Linked DNA regions of Mus musculus. The protein of the gene in region 1 interacts with the protein of each later gene in a biochemical or structural test. Links are inferred from orthologs where the notes say so. Each region holds a gene or a part of one and is shown in the gene's direction. Other genes may lie near its edges.

What was found. The genes of interacting proteins can lie anywhere in the genome.
Region 2: the proteins of Lrrk1 (region 1) and Bag1 form a complex in vitro, tested with the Homo sapiens proteins (2 studies listed by BioGRID and IntAct, with this or other methods). The link is inferred for Mus musculus from reciprocal best matches to the Homo sapiens genes LRRK1 and BAG1.
Region 3: the proteins of Lrrk1 (region 1) and Odf2 form a complex in vitro, tested with the Homo sapiens proteins (2 studies listed by BioGRID and IntAct, with this or other methods). The link is inferred for Mus musculus from reciprocal best matches to the Homo sapiens genes LRRK1 and ODF2.
Region 4: the proteins of Lrrk1 (region 1) and Flt4 form a complex in vitro, tested with the Homo sapiens proteins (2 studies listed by BioGRID and IntAct, with this or other methods). The link is inferred for Mus musculus from reciprocal best matches to the Homo sapiens genes LRRK1 and FLT4.
Region 5: the proteins of Lrrk1 (region 1) and Gak form a complex in vitro, tested with the Homo sapiens proteins (2 studies listed by BioGRID and IntAct, with this or other methods). The link is inferred for Mus musculus from reciprocal best matches to the Homo sapiens genes LRRK1 and GAK.

Annotation. Positions count from the first base shown.
Region 1 is NC_000073.6:66,262,842-66,266,341, reverse strand, and holds part of Lrrk1 (leucine-rich repeat serine/threonine-protein kinase 1), read left to right. Parts: intron 1-800; coding exon 801-917; intron 918-3,445; coding exon 3,446-3,500.
Region 2 is NC_000070.6:40,938,295-40,941,794, reverse strand, and holds part of Bag1 (BAG family molecular chaperone regulator 1), read left to right. Parts: intron 1-156; coding exon 157-270; intron 271-2,610; coding exon 2,611-2,718; intron 2,719-3,500. UniProt on the Homo sapiens protein: Co-chaperone for HSP70 and HSC70 chaperone proteins. Acts as a nucleotide-exchange factor (NEF) promoting the release of ADP from the HSP70 and HSC70 proteins thereby triggering client/substrate protein release.
Region 3 is NC_000068.7:29,888,855-29,892,789, forward strand, and holds the start of Odf2 (outer dense fiber protein 2), read left to right. Parts: upstream 1-1,135; 5' UTR 1,136-1,325; coding exon of another isoform or gene 1,326-1,357; intron 1,358-1,402; exon of another isoform or gene 1,403-1,721; intron 1,722-1,911; 5' UTR 1,912-2,116; coding exon 2,117-2,148; intron 2,149-3,331; coding exon 3,332-3,422; intron 3,423-3,935. UniProt on the Homo sapiens protein: Seems to be a major component of sperm tail outer dense fibers (ODF).
Region 4 is NC_000077.6:49,608,433-49,612,478, forward strand, and holds the start of Flt4 (vascular endothelial growth factor receptor 3 precursor), read left to right. Parts: upstream 1-1,246; 5' UTR 1,247-1,337; coding exon 1,338-1,395; intron 1,396-4,046. UniProt on the Homo sapiens protein: Tyrosine-protein kinase that acts as a cell-surface receptor for VEGFC and VEGFD, and plays an essential role in adult lymphangiogenesis and in the development of the vascular network and the cardiovascular system during embryonic development.
Region 5 is NC_000071.6:108,626,978-108,631,016, reverse strand, and holds the start of Gak (cyclin-G-associated kinase), read left to right. Parts: upstream 1-1,239; 5' UTR 1,240-1,371; coding exon 1,372-1,516; intron 1,517-4,039. UniProt on the Homo sapiens protein: Associates with cyclin G and CDK5. Seems to act as an auxilin homolog that is involved in the uncoating of clathrin-coated vesicles by Hsc70 in non-neuronal cells. Expression oscillates slightly during the cell cycle, peaking at G1.

The DNA of each region.
Region 1 (3,500 bases):
CACCGGGGGAATCACTGCTGGCTCCTGCTGGCCACCAGCTGGAAGCTAGGATTCAGGGTAGTAAGAATAGGTAGAGATGCTCAGCGGGAGAAACTGGGTGTGTTGATGGCATGCTGGATTTCCTCATAATAGTGTGAGGGCCATGGAGCATAGCTCATCTCCGAGGACCTTCTGCCTCTGTATGCAGAAGTCATGGAAAGATCCAAGTGGCTGTCCTATGAGAAATCCAAACACCGCTCTAAATCAAATGCTCCAGGTTTATGAGTAGGGGAAGGAACATCATAATGCTTCGACATGACTGTTTAGAAGTATATAGATCTCCCAAAACCCATAGATACCCATGGCACTAAAGCCTCATCGATCTGTTTTAGGAGAATACACAGAGAGATCTCTAAGAGTACCTATTCCGATACAATTCTTTATAGCAACAATAAATTCACCAAATATGTTTAAAGGTGATGAACAGAGGAGGTGACCCCATATACATCCTTGAGGGGGTAAATACAGGACTCTGCCCATGGCACACTGTCACTGTATCGTGACTCCACTTTGCTAGTGGTATACTCATGCATAGCCGAAGGGAGCTTCTGAGACGCTCCATCCCCCACTCCTCAGGACCCTCTATGAGCTAACTTTCTTCCAGACTGTAGTTTTCAAACAAAAAGCAGAAATGAATTAGCAAGCAAAATGCTGCCTTTAGAAAGGTACCAAAGGGGTTCCCCAGGCTGAAAGCATCCTCATAGGACATACCGGTCACTTCCTTCTCTAGCTCTTACAGTGAGCTTGTCTGCTTTTTGCAGGACCAGAAAATCTATATCTACAGCCTTAAGGGTATGTGCCCATTAAGCGTGCCCCAGCAGGCCCTGGACACCCCAGCTGTCGTCACCTGTTTCTTGGCAGTACCTGTTATCAAAAAGGTAAGGTGGGGAGAGGACATATTCAGGTCTGTCACCAAGTGTGGGAGGATCTCCTTGCTGAGAACAGTGGAGTCACACCTTTCTGGGCCACCTTGCCCAGGTCATAGCCAGCTTTAGAGACACAGGCAACCACCGTTAACCTGTGCCTACCGTCCATGAGCAAATGCCAGTGCCCCTGGCTTAGATGAGGCTCACGCTGGTGCGGATGATGAAGCAAACACGTGGCTCCTTCTCTTGATAAAGGCATCAGGAGCCTCTCCTCTGCCCTGGCCACTGATTTTTCTGATTAGTGGGCGTAGCTGATTCCCTTTCATCTGCCTCTGCCTTCTCTCAAAGACTTGCTTTCCTTCCCAGGCCTCAGTCCTTCATTGCCCAGCATTGCCCAGCATTGCCCAGCATTGCCCAGCATTGCCCAGCATTGCCCAGCACTGCCCAGCATTGCCCAGCATTGCCCAGCACTGCCCAGCACTGCCCAGCATTGCAGAGCAGACCCACTTCCTCGCCCTCCTAACCCCATTCACTCAGTGTGCTCCCCAGCCCCAGCTCCACCGCACCTTGGCATGGAATCTAGCCTCACTAGGGCTGGCAAGGCCACCTCTTGACTGGCCCTGGGCCTTCTCCTCCAAACAGTAGACACGGGAGCTTCACCTTCTCTTCTGGTGAACTGTCAGGAACTCCTCTGAGAAGTTGGGTGGCACTGCTTGCTCTCCCAAGCTCTGCTTCCTTCCCTGGATCCAATCAGGTCACAAGGGGCCTGTGGGTAAAACGCGTGCCTTCCACCAGTGCATAAGCATCACTTCCTAGCACAGCTTTTTATAATGTGCGGCCTGCCCTTATGTGGTCCCCATTTGTCCGCCTAACATGAGGATGATTGAGTAATGAAATAGGTCTCTGGACCTATGGAGCCCAGAGTTCCAGGCTGGGTACTTGGAGCTAAAGGTTGCTATGACTTTGTATGTCGCCAAACCTGTGAGCTTTTCTCTGCACCCTGATCTAGCTTCATTTCTTTATAAAAGGGACAGAAAATGGGTATGAAATGAACCTTACAGTCATTTATGACTGTAGCCCCAGGAGCACCCTAGGCAGCTGGGATCTCTACACCAGAGGCTGGGAGAAACGGACACAAAGCATTATTGAAGGGCCCTGACAGCCAGAGCCCCAGCCAGGGCTCACGTCTTGCCGGAGCAGGGGAAATAAAGCGGACTCTGTGTGAGCCTCCTGCGCAGGGTGCCTGCCCCCGTGGAGGTTGACCTGCGGAGGCCACACAGGGCAGACCGTGCGTGCATTCTTGCACAAGCACGCTCACAACCCACCGAACGTGGTGTTCCCCACGCCGGCCAGCAGGGCCAGGATCCAGAAAGACTTATGGCCTGTTTGCTCTGGCTGCTTTATTGACCTAGATCCTGAAGATGGATTTTGAGAAATTTTCCTAGGGCTCCTTACTGTGGATGTTGTGTGAGAGGCCACTCACTCTACTACCCTGAACAGCTGCCCACCCCGCTCCACACAGGCACCCTGACTGCTAACAAAGTGGCTTTCTGCCATTCCCCCTGGCTAGATAGAACAAGGCTGGGGTCCTGTCATGAACTCTGACTTGGTTCTGTGGCCCTTTTCCTGACCCACTCACTCTGTATCTGCTCTGCTCTGCTCTGCTCTGCTCTGCTCTGCTCTGCTCTGCTCTGCTCTGCTCTGCTCTGCTCTGCTCTGCTCTGCTCTGTGAGACACCCCTGGAAGCCTGTATTTGGCTTTGTACCTGCAGCTTTGGCTTCTGCCTAGTAACCTCTGGCGGTGGCTACAGAGGAAACGGTGCTTCGTGGTAAGTCAAACTCCTCAGTAGTGTCAGCCCAGGCTCTTCAGAGTGTGGATGTGGGCACATGGGACCAAGACATGCCAGCAGGAGAGTTAAGCTAGAAGCTCGTTCTTCCAGGGTCATAGATTGTCCACTTGATGGAAACAGTGGGATCCCGGGCCACAGAGGTGTCTCAGACTTAACCCTTTCCTGTGCCAGTGCAGTGCCCAGGTGACAGTGGTGGGCACAGAGACCTGCCCCCTGCTTTTCTGGAGTTCTCCACCGTGTGAGCAATAAACAGAACTCATGCCTATAACAGCTGTCATGTTAATAAGCTATCTACAACAGGGAGAGCATTCTGCCCTGCCTTTCATGAGGCCTTCATGGCATCCAGGAAAGGCAGCTCCCCGCTGCTCCTCCAGCAAGGGACCAATGCCAGGTGGTGGCACCCTTGCTTGATGCCCTCAGCACTATGGGCACTGTTCTCCCTGGCTTACCTCTTGCCTTGCAGCACCAGTGGTGGGTGTGGCTTTGCTGGGGCAAGGCTACATCATCTCTGGACAGAGTCCTGAGACCCCTGAGCAGGCCAAGATTTCAAAGGCTTTACTTCTCTGAGGCACTATGGAAGATCATGTGACCACTTGAGGCACATAGAGAGATGAGTCTGGTGTCTGTGGTTTCTCTCTTCGCATGTGTGACATGAAAGAATATTGTGTGTCCCTGTCCCTTCCCCCCACAGAACTCCTTCCTGGTGCTGGCAGGCCTGGCTGACGGACTCGTGGCTGTGTTTCCTG
Region 2 (3,500 bases), on another chromosome or scaffold:
CTAGGATGCTCGCTTGGCCTTCCTTCTCCCTGGGCTGGGCTTTATGGATAGGAATCCTGTTGTCTAACCCTTTGACTTGCTTTCCAAGAAGCACAAGAGGTTGGCTCAGTTGTTTTAGGTGAGCAATTACTGACCTCGTTTTATTCTTTATGTTAGAGCAATCCAGAAGAAGAGGTTGAGTTAAAGAAGCTGAAAGATTTGGAGGTATCTGCAGAGAAGATAGCTAACCACCTGCAAGAATTGAATAAAGAGCTTTCTGGCATCCAGCAGGTGACTTCTCTATTCTGTGGATAGAGTGGTATGGTATTGTTGCCTGGTTGGCTTTTTAAAAAATAATTTATTTCATTTTTAAATTATATATTAATTATGTGTGAGTCTGCCTGGGTCTGTGTTGGAGTAGGTGGATGTGAGTGCTGGTGGCCAGGAAGACACCCCCCACACCCCCCAGAGCTGGGGTGATGTGAGGTGGTGAGCCTCTAGATGCTGGGAGCAGAACGCAGGTCGGCTAGTAGAACAGTACACCTTCTTAATCTCCGAGCCATCTCTCCAGTCCTGTTTTGTGTTGTAATTATAAAATTAGTTTGTGATGCTTACACAAAAGTTTTATATGTGCGTATAGATAGATTCAAGCCGAGGCCTTTCACGTCCTAAGCTCAGCTCTGCTCTCACTGTGCTGCTTTTGTTGTTGTTGTTGTTTTGTTTGTTTGTTCGTTTTTTTGGTTTTTGTTTGTTTGGTTTTTGTTTTTTTGTTTTTTTGGTTTTTCAAGACAGGGTTTCTCTGTGTAGCCCTGGCTGTCCTGGAACTCACTCTGTAGACCAGGCTGGCCTTGAACTCAGAAATCCGCCTGCCTCTGCCTCCCAAGTGCTGGGATTAAAGGCGTGCACCACCACGCCCGGCTCTTACTGTGCTTCTTGTGTGCAGGTCTGTATGTCTGACCCAGAGATGCTATTACTCTGAAAAGTATTTTTCACCTTATTTAGTTAAAATATAATATGCTATACATTTGGTAAATTGTTCTTTTACTGGCTAAAAATTAACATTTTCCTGTGTTGTTGAAAATGGTCATATTTTCCTGCATGTGAATATATCATGGTTTACCTACCTTAGTCTCTGTTCTCTGTTTTACCTGATTTTTTTCTCTTACTGTGCTGCTGCTTTGAGTGCCCTTAGACAGGAGTCCTTTTTGAGTAGTTGTGATTGTCTTTGATAGAACTGAGTTTGGATTTCTGAGTAATGTTCGAACTTCTTGCTGTGTGTTTACAAATATGCCTTTGTCACTCTGGTTTGATAGCCATCTTCAGAAATTCCTGCTTTTCAACTCAGCCACCCGCTAACTGATCACTAGGCAAAGAAATGCAAATGAACAGCAGGGTGGTTTAATGACAGTAAGTGCTACCTCAACCAGGTGTGGGCTTGTACACCGTAATCACAGCTTTTCTCAGAGCAAGAGACGGGATCAGTTTAAGGGCAGCATTGACTATGCAGTGAGTTAGAGATCCTGTCTCAAAACCAAAGCCACAATAATACCGCCATCCTCTGTTATCTTGTGTATCTATCTGTGCCATGAGTTATGTGAGCATCTACACATCTGCCGGTCAGCATCCCATAATCTGAGATCAGTGAGACGTGGCAAGTTTAAGGAACTTGCTTTAAGATCTTAAGCCAAAGTTGGGAATGTAGCTTAGCTGATAAAGTGCTTGCCACACAGCATCAGGACCTGGGTTCAGATTCCCAGCATCCATGCAGAAACTGGGCATGATGGCACACTGTATAATCCCAGTGTGGGGGAGGCAAAGAGAAGAGGGCTGGATCCCAGCTGCTCACTGCCCAAACAGTCTAGCCAAATTGGGCAAGCTCCAGATTCAGTAAAAGACCCTGTCTCAAAAAATAAGGCAGAGTCTTAGTCAGTGAAGAGGCGCCGTGACCACAGCAACTCTTAAAAGAAGAAAGCGTTTATTTGTGGCTGGCTTAAAGTTCAGAGGTTTAATTAGTCCATTATCATCATGGCAGGAAGCATGGTGGCATGCAGGCAGACTTTGTGCTGGAGAGGTAGCTGAGAATTCTTCATTTCAATCCACAGGCAACACTTAGAGAGAGACACTGGGCCTGGCTTGGGCTTTTAAAACCCCAAAGCCCACCCCCAGTGACACATTTCCTCCCACAAGGCCACACCTCCTAATCCTTGTCAAGTAGCACTACTCCCTAGTGACCAAGCATACAAATATATGGGGGCCATTTTTATTCAAACCACCACACAGTGTTTGGCAAAGACACCTCACGCCAACCCTTGATGCACTGTGCCCAGCTTTTCAGTCTGTTCTCTTAATGTCTGCTTCTTATGTGCATGTATGCACCTGTGTTGAAGGCTGCACCATAGTTCCTCAGGGGGCATTCATGCCTCAGTGGACTGTGAGAGAAAGAACAGTCCACACCCTGGTAGTATTCTTAGTCTGGCCAAGGCAAGCATTTCTAATTTTCCCAGGGGATGAAGGTCTGAGATCTAGCCGGGCTTCTTAGATCAGTGGTGAACTCTGGGTTGCTTCACCAGTCTATTGGCATGGTTTTCCATGAGTCTCAAACACTTGCAATAGTGCCTTATTCCTTCTCAGGGTTTTCTGGCTAAGGAATTGCAAGCGGAGGCTCTCTGCAAACTTGATAGGAAAGTAAAAGCAACAATTGAGCAATTCATGAAGATCTTGGAGGAGATTGACACAATGGTAAGTAAACATTCATATAGAGGTACTAGCCTTTTTATTTACTTTTAACGTTTTATTTATTTATATATACAGCGTTCTGCCTGCATGTATGCCTGCAGGCCAGAAGAGAGCACCAGACCCCATTACAGATGGCTGTGAGCCACTATGTGGTTGCTGGGAATTGAACTTAGGACCTCTGGAAGAGCGATCAGTGCTCTTAACCACTGAGCCACCTCTCTAACCCCAGAGGTACTTCTCTTTAGTGGCAGTATTTCAGTCTATTTCGTTCTGTCAGTATTACACTTGTGTTACCTGGGAAAATCTGTTGCTCGGGGATGTCAAACATCTACTGTTATGGGCCAGGTACTGTGTGTCTTAGTTAGCTTTAACTGTCATCTTAACACAGCCTAGAGGCACCTAAGAAATACGTCTCAGCTGAGGGATTACCCAGATGAGCGTGACCTATAGGCACACTGGGGCAAGATGGGTTTGGTAATTGATAGAGTCCATTATGAGCTGCATCTGCCCCAGGCAGGTGGTCCTGGGCTGTATAAGAAAGCCAGCTTGGAGCCAGGGAAATGGTTCAGTGGTTACAAGTACCAGTTGCTCTTCCAGAGAACTTGGATTTGATTCCCAGAATCTACAGTACCTTGCAACCCTCTCTAAGCCGAGTTCCAGGGGATCCAGTGTCCTCTTCAGGCCTCCTCAAGTCCCAGGCAGGCGTGTGGTATAGATATACATGCAGGCAAAACACCCATAAAATAAATAAGCCTTCCGCCGGGTGTGGTGGCACACGCCTTTAA
Region 3 (3,935 bases), on another chromosome or scaffold:
GGAGAAGGAGAAGAAGAAGAAGAAGAAGAAGAAAGGCTCGGCTTGCTGGTGTACTCCTATAACCCCAGCAAGCAGCAGAGATAGGCAGATTTCTGCTCAAACGCAGCAAGTTCCAGGCCAGCCAGGGTTGCACGCACAAAATGAACCGTCAAGGGTTGACGAACAAATATGACATGGTAAGACTGCCCTGCCGGCTGTGGAGGTGGGAAGGTAGTTCACGCTCCAGGGAGGAGCTGGTGGGAGCACAACTACTGTGTTGGAGTTAAGGTGTCAAGGAAATGAGGTCTACCCAGCCCGGAGGTTGTTAAAGTCTCCCAGAATCCAGGGCGGGAACGTGAGCCTCGTGACAGTCCCCCACGATTGGCTAACAGGGAAGCATAGTTGAGAAGATGGCGGCTCAGCAGAGAGAACCTCAGCAGAGCAGGTCCGTATAGAAGCGGCGTACGGTGTGCGGGAGGGCGGCAGGGGCGTGGGGAGTGCGGCCTCTTCCTTCGGTTTGGGGCGTGTGGGAGAGGGGTACAGTTTGTGGAGTGTGCACAAGTTGTCTGCACTGAGCGGCCGAGGCATAGGAATGGCTTTCCAGAAGCCCCAGCCTGTCGCTTGTACAGACGCCCTCTGCGTCCAGCTTCCTCCTGTGTTTCGAGGGGAGCGCGTTAGGGTTCAGGATTCAGGAGGACCAGGGCAAAATGGCGGAGGGGACTCGGTGGCCTGAACGGTGGGGCAAGACCAGGCCGGCTGGCGCGGGAGGCGTCGCGTGTCTCCCTGACGACGGGGCGGTGGACAGGCCTCGTGACCCAGAAGTGGGCGGAGCGTCCCCGTGTGGGGCGGGGCATCTCTGTGACGCTGGGGGCTGGGCCTAAATGGCGAAACCCGAGAGGCTCCGGGGGGGGTTTGAACTGGCCAATGGGCGAGCTGCCGACCGGTTGTCGGAAAAGGAGGCGGAAGCGGGGAGGAGCCGCCGCGGGAGCCGGACTGCATCCGCCGCGGCGTCTCCATGGCACGACCCTGGCCTCCGACTTCAACGACTTCATAAGGAGACGGTTCTGGGCGCAGCCGTGCCGCTCTTGGTGAGAGGCCACGCGGCGGGGCAGGGCGTAGAGTGCCGCGGGTTCAAGCCCCGCGCTCCCGGGGCTGGCTCGACCGGGCACCGTCCCCGAGTCTAGGCGCGCTCCTTCCTGCGTCCGAACCCGGCCCGCCCCGCTCCTCGTTGGGCGCGGGCCCTTCCTCCTCCCGCTAACGGGCGGGCCGGCCGCCTCCGTCCTCTCCGGGCCATCGGCAGCGCTCTTTCCCTCCTCTGCTGTCCTCGGGCAGGGCTGCGCCCTTCTATGGGCAGAACCCCGTCCCCTCTTGCCCGCTGGTGGGTGGCCGTGCGCCCCATCCTCCCCGGAGGCCACCCCTGCTCTCTGCGGACTGGGCCGCAGCAGTTACATGCGCTCGGGGTGGGCAGGCCTCCGGGGACCCTCCAGACCAGCTCCAGGGATGTGGGTGATCCAGGAGCGGTCTGGCTCTCCATGCCGCCCCGCCTAGGCCGCCGCTCCACCCCTTCCATCTATTGGTTCTCCCTGGTAGCTATTCTGCCGGGAACGCCCCTTCACCTAGGAGACAGTTGCCCAGGCACTGTCCCGAAGATCCCTCCAGCTCCCTGTGCGGGTTCCCGCCCCTGGGGGGCCCACTTGGGGCCTAGCAGTTCTCACCTTCTTCGCACTCCAGGCAGCCCTCAGGTTTAAACCCTAGTAGCCGTCGGCCCGCTATTCTTCCCGGGTGGGGTCTGGGCATGCTGGTCGTTGTCCTCCTTTCAGTGACGTGGCCCCTCACTGTCCTGCCGCGCCCTCCACCTGCCTCCTGGCGGCGCACTCGGCACCCCGCAGGTCGCTCAGCCTCTCCTGTCTCCCTCCCTCCCCACTTTGGCAGGACAGTTGCTGTGCGACTTGGACAGTAGAGGAGCGCCTCCCAAGTTTTCATCCAACTGCCACCCCCAAAGCTTCCACCCTCCTCCCCTCAGAGAGAGGACGTTTGATGCCCGGCCCCTGAGATTCTCATTGGCCAGCCCCTCTGGGTCCCCCTGAGCAGAGCCTGCCGACCCAATTGCCCATCTTTGCGGCTTTGATGCTTAACCATGTCTGCCTCATCCTCAGGCGGCTCCCCCAGGTACAGCCAATGTGGGGGGCGCCTTTGCAGTAGGGCAGGGAAAGGTGGTCAGGGCTCCCCAGGCCAGGCTCAATGGAAACTTTTTTTTAGTTTCCCAGGTACTGAAAGTCTGGACCCAAAACACTTGAAAGTGACTTTGAAAGGGGAGGAGTAAAGACTCCCCTCCCCCGCCTACAGCTTACTAGTAGCAAACAAGATCACTCTTAATGCTTTGAGTTCAGCTTGGCTTCAGACTCACTAGGTAGTCAAGGTTGTGCTTGAATTCCCGATTCTCCTTTCTCCACGTCCCATGTGGTGGCTTAAAAGCGTTTCCCACCATGGCACCTCTAAACTAGTGTTAAAGTGAGCAGAGATATTATAAGTAAGTAGAAGGGGGGAAAACTTGAGGTTCTACTTTGAACAGTCTTCTTCCGAGTGGCCGTCCGGCTCGCTCAGTAGTTGTTTGTGAGCCGAGCAGAGTGCAGACCATGGTGCTGTTGCTTTAGGTTTCAGTCTTCCCCCTGAAGAGCTGGTGAGGTCGGCAGAAGGCTATCTGGGAACTGTGAGGAGGCAGTGGGCTAGGTTAGCTTTAACCATTGCAGACCGTTCTCCCCCAGCCGGGACTCTGGCTGGACTGCTGGTCTGGAGCACAGTATTGGCTGTTTTGCACTTGTCGTATTGGGCTGCATATGTACAAGCAAGGCTCTGGTGTGGGCAGTGAGTGGACCACGTTGGGAAGTGGGGTCTTCGTATGCTTCAGCAAGGGTGTGAGCCTTCCTTTTACAAGCTGGTGTCCCAGTGACTTTGCTCCTGAGCTGCATGTTTTAGGTTAACCTGTCACTGAACGCTTCCCCAGAGGAGCTTGGGGACTGTAACCCTTGTTGAGACTGGTGCCTTGGCAGCTTTTTTTTGGGTCACCTGATTGGAGATGACAGGTAGGCTTTCAGCACAAGGTCACAATACATGTGATGCGATGGCAGGTTTAAAAGGCCAGCCATGCAGACAGCCTACACCTGGTATCACCCTCCTGCTGAGCACACCATGCGCGCCTTGTGCTCATCTACAGAGAGCCAGGGGACTCAAGACTGCTGCTCCAAGCTGCCGACGCAATAGCCACCACATGCAGTGTGCCATTTCCCAAGAGCTGAGAAACAGGAGAACCTTGGCTTTCTGCTCATAATCTGGTTCTTGTGCCCGGGTGCAGGTTTCCATCGTGTGGGAAGAACGGAGTAACGAGTCTCACACAGAAAAAAGTCTTGAGAACACCTTGTGGCGCACCCAGTGTAACTGTTACGGTAGGTGACCCTCACAACGGTACCATCAGAACTGCTTCTGCAAGCCTTTGCTAGGGACTGCCCAGGTGCTCTGTATGGAGCTGGGAAGCATGGCCTGCTTGCTGATGAAGGAAGGAGTCAGGTGTGAGGAGGTTGTCTTGATAGCCTTCCAGGGACATCCCAACATCTTTAGAACAGATATTTTAAAAAGAAAAAAAAAAAGAAATAAAAGCATGAGAGAGAGGTGGGATGGGGGCTGCCGGCGGGCAAGGCTGTTCCTGGGGTCCAGCTCTGCTCACGTTTTCTCTGGAGTCTCTACACTCTCCTCACACTTGGCATCCCCACTGGCCTCCTCTGTGCCCTAGTGCCTTGCTTGCATGTGGCCTGCATGCATCTGCACCTTAACCATTTTGAGTGTTTCCCACACTAACTCGCATGTCTGGTTGGAAGATACAGCTTTGCAGCCGACCTGCACTAAGTCCAAGGCGGAGCTGCCCAGTCCGTCTGGCTTGGGTGGAGCTGCAGCTCTGAGGA
Region 4 (4,046 bases), on another chromosome or scaffold:
CCCTACACATCTGTAGCAAATGTGCGGCTTGGTCTTCATGTGGGTCCCCTAACAAGTAGAACAGGGTCTGTCTCAAGTCTCTGTTTCCTGCCGTTGGATTCCCCTTCACCCTACCTGGACTGCCTGGTTGGGCCTCAGTGGAAGAGAATGTGCCTAGTCCTGCTGGAACTAGATGTTCCAGGGTGGGTGGTAGCCAAGATGGGGGGCGGGGTGGAATCCCCCTTCTCTGAGAAGAAGGGGAGAAGACAATGGGAGGAGGGATTTGGAAGATGGGACTGGGAAGAGGGGAGGGGGACTGTTATAGGGATGCAAAGTGAATTAAAGATAAATATAAATAAATAGATAAATAAATAAGTAAATAAATATTCTTAGCCTCAGTGGCAGTTAGGGAAAAGCCAATTAACAACACCATAATGTGATTTCAGTACAAGCTAAAATGAAAAACTAGTTAGCGCTGTCTACAGATGTTAAAGACACGCATACCTAGGAGTTTCATTCCTGTTCTGTGGTTGAGAGAGTTGGCGACTATTTAAAAGGTCATCATCAACAACAGTCTGGCCTTGACTTTTGGCAAGGATGAGTCCGGGCTGGTAGGTGGGGATCGTGGGAACAGTGGGAACGCAGTACATAAGAGCAGAAAAAGGTTGAAATCGTCATTGTCATTTGGGATATATTTTGAAATAGGAAAATTCTAGCAAAGGAACCACAAAGAAAAAGGAAGTCTGTGCGAGAGCGTTTGCCAAAACAGAAAGTGAAGTGTCACCTGATAAAAAAGACTTAGAATGAGCTCAGAGCAAAAGTATTTGGTGGGGAAGCTAAAGCGAAAGCCTGTCTTTCACACTATAGAGAGATCTGGCTTCTGCAGGGCGCTTGCTAAGATTTAATGTACAGCCGTTTTAACGTTATATTCGTTGCCGCTCTGCTTATGGATGGAAGGGAAATGCAGAAAACGATACTATGCGGTTTTGTTCATTCTCCGGCGCCACAACGCGCACGGGGGACAGTGCAGTCACCTGCACTCCTCGCCCACCCGCAGTGGCCCTGGAGTTTGTGCTTGTTGATGGCTGCTTTGGAACTGGGAGCCTTTAACGTACGCAAAGTGGGCGCTCTCCCTACCCAGGCTGGATTCTCCTGGGGCAAGCTGGAAGGGACAGAGAGGGGCGAGGGGCGGGCTGAGGCTACGGTGACCCTCCTCCCCCGGAGCTCCGCCCCGGGCCGCCTCGGCTCCGCCCCCGGGCCGCTGACCGGTCCGCGCCCCGCCGGCGCCTCGGCGCGCGCTCTCACTCCCAGCCTAGAGCTGCGGCCGCGCAGGTCCCACCCGCGCCCAGGGGCCGGAGATGCAGCCGGGCGCTGCGCTGAACCTGCGCCTGTGGCTCTGCCTCGGACTCCTCCAAGGTGAGCGCCCGGGCCACAGCCCAACCTCCGCTCCCGCTTAACCACCCGGAGCCCGCTGCGCACCAGGGGCCTGTGGTGAGACCGCACCGACGGGGCGGGCGGAGGGACGGGGCAGTTTGGGAACCTAGGTATGAGGACGCCCGCTGGAACCAGGGAAGTCATGGGAGCCGGGGGCTAGGGACCGGGACCGCGGGGAGCAGGAAAGAATGGGTGAGGACTGCAGCCGGGTCACGAACAGGGTGGCGGAGCTATGACCAGGTCCCAGTCTTAAGTCTACGGTCCGGTCCGTAGTGAAATGCATCCTTACCCTGGATCCTTCGGGTTCTTACTCAGTCCCCAGGAAGTCCAGGGCTCACTGCCTCTGGGTCCCGATCCTCCAGCGTGAATCATTTCCCCATTGATCCACACCCGACCCCGCACTTGGGTGCGCACTTCCCGACGCCTTGCGTCTGCACTGAAGATCGGTAACCCGAGGTCCCCCAGAGGGCGCTCCGGACGGGCGTCTACCTTCTCCTGGGCTAGGACTGAGGACTTGGGACACTCCACCCCGCACCCCACTGTAGGAACCTTGCAAATGATCCTAGATTCAAGTTGAAACCTAAGCCGAATCTTGAGTCCCTAGTTCCAGACCGATCCACGTCGAGGTGAAGGGCCAGGGCGTCCAGGGATTTGAGGGGATCTCTGGATTAGAAAGGATAGAAGATTTGAATCATAAAGCAGAGGCTGCAAGGAGAGCCTTGGGAACAGGGAACGGAAGGTTCAAGTTTGTGTTGAGAGCTTGGCTCTGCGGTGCTGAAGAGTCTCTGGAAGCAGAGGAGCTGTGTGGAGGGGCCAGGAAGGAAGCACTGGGGATTAGGCGGGGGATGAGCCCGGCATCCGCTCAGGAGCCGCTGTCCCTGGAAACCCAAGGTGACTGGGTCATCACAGAGCCCCTGATGCTTGACGGAGACGTGCAGAAAGACCTCGGAGAGAGAAACCTGTATGTCTGTATGCCGTAGAAATTGACTTTGAATGTTTCATCTTTTATTCCCACAAGAGTATGAACCCTTTTTTACATAAGTGGGGAACGTGTAACCTCCCAATTCCTCAGGAGCCGGCAGGAAGGGAACTAATTAATGCAAGTTTTGATATTGGAGCCTCGCTCTCAGCTCGCACCCTGTAGCACCCTGTACGGTCAGACAGCGAAGCTGAGCGAGATGTGATTGAATCTGTGTAGACACTGAAGGATGACTGGCCCTTTGGCTGTTTCTTGCTCCACTGCCCCAACCCTGGATAACGCTTCTCGCCAGTGTTCAGGATATGTTTGTTAAGGGAGTGAATGTGTGGAAGAAGTAAACAGGGCTCTAGCTGGGCAAGATGGATGAGGAATGAGACTTCCCTGGGCCCAGGAGACCTCCCACATTCAGCCAAGAAAGGTATCTGAGGCTCCGGGAGGTTGCATTGGCTGGAATGTAAGCTGTACAAATTCTTTCCCCTCCCCATTGCTAGAATCCTGGGGTAAGCGGTCTGAAAGGAAGACAGGTACATTGCAGAGATGCAAGGAGCAGCAGGCAGAGGTCCGTAGAAATGAAGGAAGGTGGGAGTGCTCCCTGAAGTAGGCACCCATGACCACATGGGCTGTGAAGAGGAGAGGAGATAGTTTGATAGGGTGGCCTAGCATGGGTGGGGAATGTAGGGAGCAGGGCTGCCAATGTAAATAGAGACCAAGCCTCCCTGAGCCCTGTGCCTGGTCCCACTCACTCCTGGTGAAAACCGATCCAGGAGCTCCCAGCCTGGTGGGGGATGCTATGGCAGGAACAAATCTCTAAGTGCAGAAGATGGGGTGAATAGCTCCGTGGTAGGGTATAGAAAGAAAAAAAAATCCCTAAGAGAAGGCAAACAGGAGTAGGAGACCTGTGTGAAGCCTGGGGACCCTAAATGAAGCCCTCAAGGGCAACAGACTCACACTTTAGTCTTAGCTGTGCCCCAAAGTCCTTAAGGTCCTGAGGTCTCCTTTCCCCACTGAGCACCAGTGTCCTGCGTGTGTTCAGGGGCAGGCAGGGCGGGAGGGGCTCCTTGGACTTGAGCTTGGCTTGGTGTCCTGATCTAGTTCTATAACCCAGCAGGATCCCTGTAGAAAAGGGCAGATGACAGCTTTAATAAACTCTGTCTCGGGACTTTAGTCTGGAGGGAAGCTAGCAGGTGACACAGAGGGACTGCTGGCTTCATCTAATGATGGTCTGCCTTGCCATGGTCTACATCAAACGTGGCTGCCTATCTCTCTGATATTCCTGCTCTTAGGTATAATCCAGGTCCAAGACAGTGGGATCTACCTGTTTCTGTGGCCTTCTAGTCCTAGCTCAGAGCTCTGGGGACTGAAATGTAAGTGTCTCTCAGAAGCAGTGTAGCAAAAGGGGCCCTGATCCCTCATCAAAGCCAGGCCTGGAACAGTGTGGTGAAAAGTCTGGCAAACTTCCCAGCATGTCAGAGAGACTGTGACTCTGTGCAGCTACAGCCACACACACACATCACCTGCTCAGGATGGCAGGAAGGACAGGGGCACGACCCCATCCTGCAGGGGTTTTCCAAGTGCCAGACTGAAGTGGCATTGGATTTCTAAAGCATGAGGATGAACGTGCTCAGAGACACCCAGCTACTGCCTGTGGGCTTCA
Region 5 (4,039 bases), on another chromosome or scaffold:
AGATCTGAAGCCACCAAAAAATAAAAAATCCCTTCAACTTCATTCCAGTAATAACATAAAGTTACCTGCAACTGCAAGCCGTAGCTACTTCCTCCTCCCTGCATCTTATAAGTGATTCTCTTATAGAAAGGTGCCATTTCTATACCAACACTACATATCCTCTATCTGGATGTGACTTGACTGTCCTACTATTCTGAGACAGTACTCCTCTCCACTATACTGGAAAGACTTCACTCTTTCCCATTGGCTTTAGGCTGCTCAAGTCTCCCATCTAAGATCATGTTAACACCACACTGCCCTTTCAGCTCCCACACTCTTCTTCACAAATCTCCTCAGTTACCTACAGGTACCATCTCTACTTCATCAGTTCTTTATTCCTCCAGGTGTTATCCAAAGCTTCCACTTCACCATTTCTAGGAAACTACTGTCTCACCTACCACGTACCTCACTGTATACTAATGATAATCTTTCATTTCTTTTCTACTTGACTTTTTAAAGAGCAGGTAGCGCCCCCCCCCCCCCCAAGGCGTATTTAATAGCATACAATCCTGGGACAGTTAAGATGTTGATTTGGGCTTAAGGATCCATTTTTCAGTCCAAAAGCACAAACTCTACCCAAGGCTCTGCAACTTCATATGGCTTCAGAAACCTCGGAGGTACAGAGACGAGTGGGGAATCCCATGACTTTGCCTCACCTGAGATGGACAGCTCTAAGTGTTTGACATCACACGGGATTCTGCGTCCAGTGCTGCCAGGTGACTTTTGTATACACGTTGTGAAGCTTTCTCCCGCCCCCTTTTAAAACTACGTTTTTCGGTCTTAATTCTAGCAACTAGTTCATCCTCCCCCAAACCTGTGTGGACCAAAACATAAGTGTCTGTGGCTCATAGGCTGGCTGCTTGTCTGCAAGATACCCTCCTCTCCTAAACCGGGCATTAGGGACACTTAGGGTGGGCTCCAGGCCTCGCTTTACCTTGAGGCGTCAGGCGCGAGCGGCGGGCTCTGGGGCGGTCCGCAGCGCGCGCCCAACGTCCCGCGACGCTCTAGCCACCTAGGCTGGACCTGGGCCAGCGGAAGCAACCAGATGAGGTTAGGGTCAGATGGCGACAGCCCTACCTCCGTGCCTCCTAGGAGCTTGAGGTCCGTAGGATCGCACCCTCTGCGCCTGCGCCTGCTGCTGCTGCTGGCTCTGCAGAAACACGCGCCCTTCCGCCTGCTGCGTCAGGGCGGGGCCGCAGCGTCGGGACGCAACTCGCTCTCTGATTTACGTCACGGCGCGGGCGGAAGATGGCCGGGTTGTTCGCCCGCAGCTGCTAACCCGGCAGTGCGGAGCTGGAGCCTGGCTCCCGCTGCCGCGGAGCGGCCGACGCCATGTCGCTGCTGCAGTCTGCGCTGGACTTCCTGGCGGGCCCTGGTTCTCTTGGCGGAGCTGCGGGCCGTGATCAGAGTGACTTCGTGGGGCAGACAGTGGAGCTGGGCGAGCTGCGTCTGCGGGTGCGGCGGGTCCTGGCCGAGGGTGAGGCGTAAGGCGTCGCCAGGCCGCGGGAGGCAGGAGCAGCCCAGGAGGGTCGCTGCTGGGGTGTGGTTCGAGTCAGGGCGCGTGACGGTCACCGCTTTAAGCAGGGGCAGCAAGGAGGATCGTGTCCAGGGTGTGAATCAAGTCTGAGACCTAGAGAGTCACGACTGAGGTGTGGGTCAGATCAGGGCCGCAGGGAGTCATCTCTCCGGGCAGGGTCTGCGGGAAAAGACACTGCTGGGATGTAAATCAGGCCATCGCTATGAAGGGCCACTGCTGGGGTGTGAATCAGGTCGGAGAAGGGTCTTGCCAGGAAGAGAGACCACAGGGGCTTGTGGGTTAAGGCCTTTGGTGGTGATTGCAGAGGATAGACTGCTTCGGGTTGCACACTTACTTCCTGGTGGGTAGAGTTAGTAGTACAAGGGTCATGCTAGCAGGTGGTTATCCAGTAAAGGAGGCTTGGGTCTGGAAGGACCACCTCTGCTTAGGGTCAAAGCTGTATCTGGGGCATATACAGAAAGATTCAAAGGTGGAGTCAGGTCAGAAGGTGAGCACAGTCACTCTGGGGTCATAAGCTGTTATTCATTGTATCATATCCAGCGTTGTTGTTGCATCCCGAGGACTGTCTTGAGATGGCAGTGTTTGTGCTGCTGAGTTCTGGGGCCTGTAGAGTCTTCCCTTGCTTGATGAGGTAGAGGATAGACTGGGGCCCTACAGTCTTGTTTTCTTTTATAGCCTAAGTGCCTCACCTATTGAGTTTTTTCTGTAGTGACCTCGTATAAGGTACAGGAAACAGAGCCCGTAGCTGTAACCTTTAAGAACCTTGCTTGAGCCGGGCGTGGTGGCACCCGCCTTTAATCCCAGCACTGGGGAGGCAGAGGCAGGCGGATTTCTGAGTTCAAGTCCAGCCTGGTCTACAGAGAGAGTTCCAGGACAGCCAGGGCAATACAGAGAAACCCTGTCTCGAAAAACAAACAAACAAAAAGAACCTTGTTTGATAGACAGTTCCATAGTTCTGTGTCTTGAGGTCAGTCTGAGTTTGTAGCTTCCTCACACAGGCTCTGTAGTCAGCTTGTGTGATGGAATCGTGTTTTCTCTTTTATGATTTTTTTTTTTTTAAGATTTACTTTTTTAAAAAACTGGTGTTTTGCCTGCCTCCATCACTGGACAGTATCTATGTGTACTGCCTGCTGAGACCAGAAGAGGACATTGGATCCCCTGGAAATGTAGTTAGAGACAGTCGTTAACCTCTGTATGGTTGCTAGGAATCCAGTGTTGCTCTTCTCCTCTGCAAGAGAATAAATCTTCTTCAGGCACTCACTGTGCCTTTTTATTATTATTATTATTATTAATTTGTTTATTTTGTTCATCAGTATCTAGGAGTATGCCAGATCTCAGGTTCAGGGAGAAGAGTGGCCTGACTCAGGTCTGAAGTAGCTCTCAGGATTGGAGAGTCATCTTGTTAAGGTTGTCCATGACAATTGTGATTGGTAGGAGCAGGGAACTTGTTTAACATTCTTTCTTTACTATGGAAACGCAGAGGTGATGTTTTGATAGTAGCTTGTCATGCTTATTCTCCACTGCGATTGTGCATAGATTTGGATGTGATTTTAGTAGAAGACCTGTGGTGCTTTTCCCGCCAGAGATGAGTTTAGGACCTCCACTAACAGTCTGATATGTGATATTCCCTTTCATCTGTCGAAATGACAAAGATGGTGCCAGATCGGCTTGTTCATTCTGAAGATACCAGGAAGTTGCCTTAGTTTTTCAAAAACTTCAACCCTGAACTGATGGCACAGGCCTGTAACCCTAGCTTCTTGGGAGTTTGAGGCGGGTAAATTCCAACTTCAGGGTCTGCCTGGACTACAGGTAGAATTCAAAGCCAATCTGGGCAAGTTAGTAAGATGCTGTCTTGAAAAGTAAAAAAGGGCTGGGATTTTATAGTTTAATGGCATAACACTGGCTTAACATGTATGAGGCCCTAGGTTTAATCCACAAACCAGAAGGGAAGAGAGGAAGAGAAGAGACGGACGGACTTGGTTTCCTTTCTTATAGAATGTAAAATAAGACACATATTCAGCTAGTAGAAGGAAGAGGCAGCTTGGGTGCGGCAGTACAATAAATAGTGTGAATTCCAGGGTAGCTGGAAGGCCTGCCTCTATAATAGGGAGCCAGGAGAAGATGGCTGTGTGCTGTACCCACCTGGCCAAGAGGCCATCTCTAGTGGGACGTGGTTCCAATTGCTAGGAGAGGGAGGTTGTGTAAAGCAGGAAGCTTACTCAAGCCACATCTAAACCAGGATGAAAAACCAGGAAGTATGGGCAGCCACTGTCTCTGCAGAGAGCAGTTCTTTCCTGCTCTCTGACCCAGCCAGGAATAAAAATAATCAGTGCAATTGTAAGCCATAGTTTTCTTCTTCTTCTTTTTATACTTAATATGATATTTTAAGGCTTTTTTTTTTCTGAATTGAGACAGTAAGGAATCTGTAGTATTTTGCATAGATTACTTAAATGAGTCCTGAGC